2 linked regions of the Macaca fascicularis genome follow. The protein of the gene in region 1 purifies or fractionates together with the protein of each later gene. This does not show direct contact. Links are inferred from orthologs where the notes say so. Each region holds a gene or a part of one and is shown on either strand. Other genes may lie near its edges.

Region 1 (4,545 bases):
GCTACCATGTCTGACTAATTTTTGTATTTTTAGTAGAAACTGGGTTTCATCATGTTGGCCAGGTTGGTTTCGAACTCCTGACCTCAGATGATTTGCCCACCTTGGCCTCCCAAAGTGCTGGGATTACAGGCATGAGCCACTGCGCCCGGCTTAGATCCATCCCTTTCTAAGGGCAAACAGTCCATGGTGCAAAGGGGCCATGCCACCCAGAGTTATGAGTACCTGGGACTCCAGAATTCCTTGCCTTGTGGCCTCCACGTGCACTTCCAGGGCCTGCTTGGGCCTCTTCTATGGGTCTGTCCTGAGTGTTGATAGAACCACTGATGTGGGTACCTGGGCTTGAGCTGTAGCCTGGAGATCCTGTTGACTGTAGCCTGGAGGGGGCTTGTGCAGCTGAGTGTCTGCATGCAGGTGGTGGGAGTTCTGGAATATAATGGAGCTGGAGGTGGGAAGAGAAGTAGGCTTGGGGCGCTCTCTCATGCCACCTCATTCTGACCAAAACTCAGGCCAAACTGTGAAGAGTCTAAACGTGAATCTACCCTTCAAGGTGGTTACAAAGGTATCTTTGTCAAGGCAGGAGACATTTAGTTTGTTGGCTTGATGGATGACTTAAATATTTAGACATATGGTGTGTAGGCCTGCATTCTTACTCTTGCCTTTTTTTTGGCCCCTCCAATGTTTTGGGTGGTTTTGCTCCCTACAGGCAAAGGCAAACAGAAGTTGGAGGTCTGGAGTGGCTACATAATTTTACACGACTGCAATTCTCTGGCTGCACTTTACAAATGTATACAAGCTAAATACAAGTCCTGTGTTTTTATCACAGGGAGGCTGATCAATATAATGAAAATTAAAAGGGGGCTGGTCCATATTGTTCTGTGTTTTTGTCTGTTTCTTTTTTTGTTTTTGTGGCCTCCTTCCTCTCAATTTATGAAGAGAAGCAGTAAGATGTTCCTCTCAGGTCCTCTGAGGGACCTGGGGAGCTCAGGCTGGGAATCTCTAAGGCAGTAGGCCGCTATCAAAAACTAAAGTCAAGGTTTGTTGTGGGGCGGGGGGGGAAGCAGCCGGTTACCCAGAGGACCAGCCTAGGTCTTTGAAAGGTACCAAAAGACAAAATGATTGGCGTCCTGAGGGGGATTCAGTATGGAGCTCGCTCTCCCCCAATCCCTCCCTCCGGCTGAGGAAACTAACAAAGGAAAAAAAGATTGCGGAAAGCACGATTTAGGGGAAGCAAATTCCACTGGTGCCCTTGGCTGCCGGGAACATGGACTAGAGAGTCTGCGGCGCAGCCCCGAGCCCAGCGCTTCCCGCGGGTCTTAGGCCGGCGGGCCCGGGCGGGGAGCGGGGGCGCAGACCGCGGACCCTGAGACACCTGATGCACCCTCCACCCCCACCCCCACCCCCACCCCACCCACCTCCTCCCAACTCCCTAGCAGCTTCGCGGGCGGCTGAACGTCGCCCGTTTAAGAGGCGGGCCGCGGCTCCACGTGCTTTCTGCTGAGTGACTGAACTACATAAACAGAGGCCGGGAAGGGGGCGGGGAGGAAGGCGAGAACAGGCTTTGACCGATAGTAACCTCTGCGCTCCGGGCAGCCGAATCTATAAAAGGAACTAGTCTCGGCAAAAACCCCGTAATTGCGAGCGAGAGTGAGTGGGGCCGGGACCAGCATAGCCGAGCCGACCCTTCTCTCCCGGGTTGCGGCAGGGCAGGGCAGAGCAGGGCGGGGGGCTCTGCGCACCAACAGGACTAGTTCTCAGGGCGCTTTGCTCCTTGTTTTTTCCCCTCGTTCTGTTTTCTCCCCTTCTCCGGAAGGCTTGTCAAGGGGTAGGAGAAAGAGACGCAAACACAAAAGTGGAAAACAGGTAAGAGGCTCTCCAGTGACTTATTGGGCGTTATTGTTTTGTTGCGAGGCCAAGGAAGCTTCGGGAAGCTCTCGGTTTCGGGGACTTTGATCCGGAGCCCCGCATGCCCACCACTTGCAACCCAAATGGGACCCGGGGCGGCGTAAATGGGAAGAGGATGTCCTAGGACGAGCTCTGGCGACCCCAGGACTGCGCTGCTGCGCTCGGGACTCGCCCGGCGGTGGAGACTGGGGAGCATCTCTGGGCGTGGAGACCCGGGCGCAGTACCCCGGGCTCAGAGGGGTCGGGGGTGCCCGGGAATGCTGAGGTCGCTGCTGCCGGGTGGGGAGAGTTGCAGGTCCGGCACGGAGCGCTTCTTTGTTCGGAGGGGCCTGAGTTGGCTAGAAACCCCTCTGGTTGCGGGTCGGCCAGTACCTACGGAGACAAATGCCAGCACTGAGTTCTCACTCGGTTCTTAAGAAGCTGGTCTGTTCTGACCTGGGAATCTGCTGTATGCACCCCGGGACTGGAGCAGCGCGTCCTTTTTCCCGAGAACTCGAGTTGGAGGTGTCCCAAACGGGGTCCGTGGTGCTATTACTCACTAGAGGCCTTGGGGCTTTGTGACCTGAGGGGTAGGGAGGTCCTGCCTACAGTCTCGGTGCGCTCAGCCGAGCTGGTGTCCCTGGCGCAGAGCGCGGAACGAGTTTCTTTCTTTTCTTTTTTTCTTTGAGTCTTGCTCTGTCGCCCAGGCTGGAGTGCAATGGAGCGATCTCCGCTCACTGCAACCTCTGCCTCCCGGGTTCAAGCGGTTCTCCTGCCTCAGGCTCCTGAGTAGCTAGGATTACAGGCGCGTCACCACACCCAGCTAATTTTTGTATTTTTAGTAGAGACGAGGTTTCAACTTGATGGCCAGGCTGGTCTCGAACCCCGGACCTCAGGTGATCCACCGGTCTCGGCCTCCCAAAGTGCTGGGATTACGGGCGTGAGCCACCGCGCCTGGCCGAGTTTTGTTTCTTCTAAATACAAGACTTAGGAGAGCCTGCGGAAACCCGGAGGTGGGGTGCCCAATCCTCCCTCCCCCACGTTCCCTGCCGCCCCATCTTCCAGACCCTTGCCGTTGGTCTCTTGGGGCAGCTTCTGCCTGGGCGCAGATGGGGAAGCTGGGGCGAGGTGGTGCTGTGGAATGACCGGGAATAACCCCGGCGGGCGGCGCAGAACTCGGAGCTCCGCCGCGGGGCTGGGCTGGGCTCTGCCTTGAGGGTGGGGGTGCTGGGCGCGCGGGCTGCGGTGGCCCCCGGAGACTAGCCCGCAGCGCCTCCTGGCCGGAGGACCTAGGAATCGGCCGGCTGTACTAGGTGTCTGCTCGCTGTGAATCCGGTGAAGACCGGTGAGTGCAGATGGGGAGGAACTATGAGGTTGAGGCGAAAGCCCGTTTGGTTTTTTTGTTGTTGTTGTTAGCGTGTTTGCCAACTCCCAGGCCGCTGGTAAATAAGGAAGGTTCTTGGGGCGGCGGACGGTGCCAGGGTTGTGTGTAGGTGCCTCTTTAGGTATATCTTTTATCAAAAAGAAGGAAAGAAATAAGATTAAAAATAAGAAAATAAAGAAAAAATTGTATGCCACTGTCTGTAATTGGCCTGCCTTTGCAGCACTGATACCATTAGCTTTTAAAATCCGACTTTTCAATGACATCCCAAGAAGAGAATGGGTAGTATATACACATTCATCTCACAGTGGACAAAGTTCATATTTAAAAAAACTTTCTGGGTACTGAAATCAGCAAGTCACTTGTCCTCCATGGCTGAATCCCTGCTTCCCACGAAGAGAACCTCACAAAAATTTCCCCCGAGTTAAAGAGTGGAATTTTCTTGATTTTTTTTTTTTTCATTTTTTTAACGGTCATAGTTTAGAACCCAGACTTAAATTATGATCTTCTTTTCAAACAAAACTTAAAGTCCTTAAGTTTTCATCTCCCCTTTTATTTCAGCCTATTCTTCTCATACCTACCACAAAAATGATGGAGGCCTTCTGTTGAGAAACTTTCCATTTCTGTTGAGAATATCATTCTCTTGAGAAACTTTCTCCTAAATCAGAGAAAGTATGGAAGCATGGAAAGTATTCCTGAGTAGAACCTCTACAGATATTACAATATTTTTCAAATACAAAGTTTCCATTGTCAGCCTGTTTCCCCAGTGCTTCCACAAACCATTAAATCATTCCACAAACCATTAAAATAATTAATGCTAGGGAATTTTAGGAAAACATTGGATACACAGCATCTGCTTGAGAACCAACAGTATGATCAGACCCACCGGGGAAGAGGGTCTTCAGCGTTCATGATGACTATAAGCCATTTAAGGGACTAGAATTGCTACTGTTGTCAGAGCAGTTTAAGAGTCTGTATTTGAGCCACCTGCACAGTGTTCCAGAATGACATAGCTGACTGTAACCTGGACACCTGTGATATGTTGTCTCTTCTGCAGATGAGCATTTGAAATCTCCACCCTCATATTTCTATGAGTGCAGTCCTATAATGTACCCTGTACACGTTTTTTTTTTTTTTTTTTTTTTTTCTTTTGAGACGCAGTTTAGCTCTGTTGCCCAGACAGGAGTGCAGTGGCGTGATATCGGCTCACTGCAACCTCCACCTCCTGGGTTCAAGCGATTGAGTAGCTGGGAATACACGTGCACACCACCACGCCTGGCTAA
Region 2 (4,407 bases), on another chromosome or scaffold:
GCAGGTAGGGCCCAGGGGAGGCTTTGGGGAGGCTTGGCCCCCCTGCTAGCTGGAAGACCTGGGGCCAATTCATCCCTGTCAGAGTCTGTTTCTTTATCTCCAAAGCCAGGGTGAGGGTTGAGCCAAGGTGAGAGCAAGACAGAGTGTGTATGTCATGCGTGGTGGTGTGTGCCTGTCGGCCCAGCTACTCAGGAGGCTGGGGAGGGAAGATTGCTTGAGGCTACAGTGAGCTGTGATTGTGCCACAGCACTCCAGCCTAGCGACAGAAGAGACCGTGTCTCTATTTTTTTCAAAAAAAGCATGTATTGGCCGAGCACGGTGACTCACGCCTGTAATCCCAGCACTTTGGGAGGCTGAGGTGGGCGGATCATGAGGTCAGGAGGTCGAGACCATCCTGGCTAACACAGTGAAACCCTGTCTCTACTAAAAATACAAAAAATTAGCCAGGCGTGGGGGCGGACACCTGTAGTCCCAGCTACTCGGGAAGCTGAGGCAAGAGAATGGCTTGAACCCAGGAGGCGGAGGTTGCAGTGAGCCGAGATCGCGCCACTGTACTCTAGCCTGGGCAACAGAGCGAGACCCCGTCTCAAAAAAAAAAAAGCATGTATTGAGTGCCGACTCTGTACAGTGGGTTGCAGTGGAAGTTGAGACAGAAGGGCCCTGTTACCATATCAGGCGTCTTGGTGGGCACTAGGGAAAGCATCCCCCCACCCCAAAACCTGGTCTCACCCAAGGGAGGCAGCCTGGAGCTCAGTCCATTGTGAAGTGGGCAGCCTTCCCTACTGTCCAGGAGCACTGCTTCCTGCCCTCCGAGAGCGCTACCTGGGTGTGTCGCCTGGGCGGGTGGGCTTCTGGAAGAAGGCCTGGGCAGTGAGAGGCACTGCCTAGGAAGAGGGTGGGAGGCACGTTGCTAGTGCTGCAGAGCATACACCGGGGCCTCGATTCCTCATCGTCCCGTAATCTGTGTGGGACCTCTCTGCATTTCCCGACATCTGTCTGAGTCCCACCCTCTCCCCTTCCTTTTACCCTGGCCCTTTCACCACCCAAGACGGTCCCAGTAACCCTTTTAGTATGAGCTTAGCAGGGCAGGGCTTCGTGGAAGCGTTTCTGGCAGGGGGATCGGCGATTGCAAAGGCCCTGAGGTCAGGGAGAGCCGGTGGTTTGGAGGAACTACAGGGAGGCCCAGGCAGCTGGAGCACAAGGAGACGGGGTGGAGAGGTCGGGAATCCCACCCTACCCCTTCCCAGCCCCTCCTCTGGCACCACCCTGGAACACTGCCAGAGTCCCCTTGAGGGGCCCCTGCCTCCACCCCCGCCTGATGGAGCTGCTCACAGGGCAGGCAGAAGGGTCCTGTCAGCACTTGAGGCCGCCCACATCCCTCCTCCGCTCAGAACCCTCCACAGCTCCCGTCTCACTGGGAGAAGAGCTGGAGTTCTCTCTGTGGCCCACAAAGCCCTTTAGGACCTGGCCTCGCTTACTCTCTGTCCTCAGCTTCCACCCTCTCCCCCTCCTCCAGTCACTCTGGCCTCTTACTGGCACCCACCTGCCATGCTGTACTTGGGAGTTTCCTTTGCCCAGAACTAGGGGGACCAACTGGTCCTAGTTTGCCCAGGACCTTCCCAGTTTTAACACTGAAAGTCCCATGGCCTGGGTAGCCCCTGTCCCAAGTCCTGGGAACAGCAGACAGTTGGTCACCCTCACAATCCCTCACCTCCTTGGGGTTGGTCACTGCTCCAGCGTCACCCACGGCATGGCCTTCCCTGCCCGCCTTGTGTAAAATAGAACCGTGGCTCAGCAGGGCCCTTTGCCCTTCTCTGCACTGCCTGATTCCATAGAACTCACAGCCTTCTGACTGGCTGGGCCTCTTCCTAATGTGTTTGTCTATGACCTGTTCCCTAGGCCCTCAATGTAAGTGCTGGGGCCTGGCACATGGCAGGTACTCGGTGATGTTCGATGAATGAACGAACAAATCAGTCGTGGGAATGAGTTTGGGCTTTACCTGAGCGGTGGAAGCCAGCGCAGGGACCAACACGATGGTTTTTTTTTGTTTTTTTTTTTTGAGACGGAGTCTCGCTCTGTCGCCCAGGCTGGAGTGCAGTGGCCGGATCTCAGCTCACTGCAAGCTCCGCCTCCCGGGTTTATGCCATTCTCCTGCCTCAGCCTCCCAAGTAGCTGGGACTACGGGCGCCCGCCACTCGCCCGGCTAGTTTTTTGTATTTTTTAGTAGAGACGGGGTTTCACCGTGTTCGCCAGGATGGTCTCGATCTTCGGACCTCGTGATCCGCCCATCTCGGCCTCCCAAAGTGCTGGGATTACAGGCTTGAGCCACCGCGCCCGGCCAACACGATGGTTTTAAAAGCTTCCCTTTGCCTTCGTGAAGGGGACAAGGATAGGACCTGGGGAAGCTGCAACCACCACCAGGTGGGAAGGGAGGCTGGTGACAGGATAGTAGAAAATACTGAGGAAACATGCACCCTCATTATTCATTCCCTCACTGGGCGGGATGTGTGGCACACCTGCTACGTGCCAGCACTCTCATGGGCACGGGGCACAGGTGGACAGAAATGACAACGCTGTGATTACTGCTGTGTTCCCGGCCCCAGTGACTGTGGGTGGCGCCAGGGGCGAGGCTGTGGGGCCCGGTTTCAGGCTGAGGGAGTCACTGGCTGCCTCCCGCCCCGCAGGCCTGCAGGTGGAGTTCATCAACCCCATCTTTGAGTTCTCGCGGGCCATGCGGCGGCTGGGCCTGGACGACGCTGAGTACGCCCTGCTCATCGCCATCAACATCTTCTCGGCCGACCGGCCCAACGTACAGGAGCCGGGCCGCGTGGAGGCGCTGCAGCAGCCCTACGTGGAGGCGCTGCTGTCCTACACGCGCATCAAGAGGCCACAGGTAGGGCCCCGCAGCGCCTCTGCGCAGAGCCAACTACGTCCCGCGGCCCACTTGGTCCATCCAGGCTGGGCTCTGCCTGGCTGCCGCCCCCTCCGGCAGTCTTTCCTCAGGCCCCACCCTGCTGGACTATGAGCCAGGTCTAGTCCAAGCACAGGGGCGGGCCCCACGCTGGCTCCCACGCCTGACCGGGGATGGTCCCTCCTTTCTGTTGGGGTGGGCCGCCCAGAGCCTGGCCGGGCAGGAACTCAGTGCCCACCTGCCTCCTCCCTCAGGACCAGCTGCGCTTCCCGCGCATGCTCATGAAGCTGGTGAGCCTGCGCACGCTGAGCTCCGTGCACTCGGAGCAGGTCTTCGCCCTGCGGCTACAGGACAAGAAGCTACCGCCTCTGCTGTCGGAGATCTGGGACGTCCACGAGTGAGGGGCCGGCCACCCAGCCCCACAGCCTTGCCTGACCACCCTCCAGCAGATAGACGCCGGCACCCCTTTCTCCTCCTCGGGTGGAAGGGGCCCTGGGCTGAGCCTGTAGACCTCCCAGCCCTCAGCCCTTGGGATGAGCCCCAGTCCGGGTCCAGGAGGCTCCCTCCCTGCCCACCAAGTCTTCCAGAAGGGGTGAAAGGGTTACAGGTCCCGACCGCTGACCCTTCCCGGCTGCCCTCCCTCCCCAGCTTACACCTCAAGCCCAGCACGCAGTGCACCTTGAACAGAGGGAGGGGAGGACCCATGGCTCTCCCCATAGGCGGGGAGACCAGGGGCCTTCCTCTTCCTCTGCTCCTTTTATTTAATAAAAACTAAAAACAAAAACAGGAAAATAAAATTATGAATACAATCCAGCCCAGAGCTGGAGTGCAAGATGGAGAGGGCGTGGGCTTCTAGGGACCTCAGTGACACCGGGTCCCTGAACCTGATTGAGCATGTGGGACGGGGCCTCCCCAGGCTGGTGGGAGGGGTGGCACATAGGGTCCCAGTGCTGGGTGGTGTGTCGCCTGCTGTGAAAGTTCAGAACAGGGGCCTGACAGCCTCAGGGTCACCTCCCTGGGCAAGGTGAATGAGAACTCGCCTTTGAAGGATAAACAGGACTTAAGTGGATGAGGGGAACTGGACTTTCGTCTCAATAACGAGTGTTTTCTGAGGCCTCCTGTGGGCCAGGCACTGGGTTGACCATTCTAGAGATGGAGACATTCACCCAGCAAATGTTTCCGGAGCATTTACTAGTCAGGCACAATTCTAGGCACTGGAAACATCCGTGAACAAGATAACCACCCTCCTACCAAGACTCGGGATAGGGACTTTAATGAGGGTGGCACTGTGGTGGGGCTAGAGGAAGTCAGGCAAGGTGTCACAACAGAGGCAATCGCTGGGACCTAAAACAAGAGCCCAGGGGCTGGGCCTCCAAGTTGAGGGAACAGCACGTGCAAAGTTTGAAAGGTGAGGGACACTGCGAGTTCGGAGTGAGCAAGCGACGAAGTTCCTCCAATTCCTCTTGCCCGTGTGCCAGCCCTAAAGGAGCTGAATG

Evidence for each region.
Region 2: the proteins of ABCA1 (region 1) and NR1H2 purify together in Homo sapiens (affinity purification with western blotting; 3 studies listed by BioGRID and IntAct, with this or other methods). This does not show direct contact. The link is inferred for Macaca fascicularis from reciprocal best matches to the Homo sapiens genes ABCA1 and NR1H2.

The regions. Positions count from the first base shown.
Region 1 is NC_088389.1:53,187,177-53,191,721, forward strand, and holds the start of ABCA1 (phospholipid-transporting ATPase ABCA1), read left to right. Parts: upstream 1-1,628; 5' UTR 1,629-1,860; intron 1,861-4,545. UniProt on the Homo sapiens protein: Catalyzes the translocation of specific phospholipids from the cytoplasmic to the extracellular/lumenal leaflet of membrane coupled to the hydrolysis of ATP.
Region 2 is NC_088393.1:58,289,220-58,293,626, forward strand, and holds the end of NR1H2 (oxysterols receptor LXR-beta), read left to right. Parts: coding exon 1-4; intron 5-2,684; coding exon 2,685-2,893; intron 2,894-3,165; coding exon 3,166-3,312; 3' UTR 3,313-3,708; downstream 3,709-4,407. UniProt on the Homo sapiens protein: Nuclear receptor that exhibits a ligand-dependent transcriptional activation activity. Binds preferentially to double-stranded oligonucleotide direct repeats having the consensus half-site sequence 5'-AGGTCA-3' and 4-nt spacing (DR-4).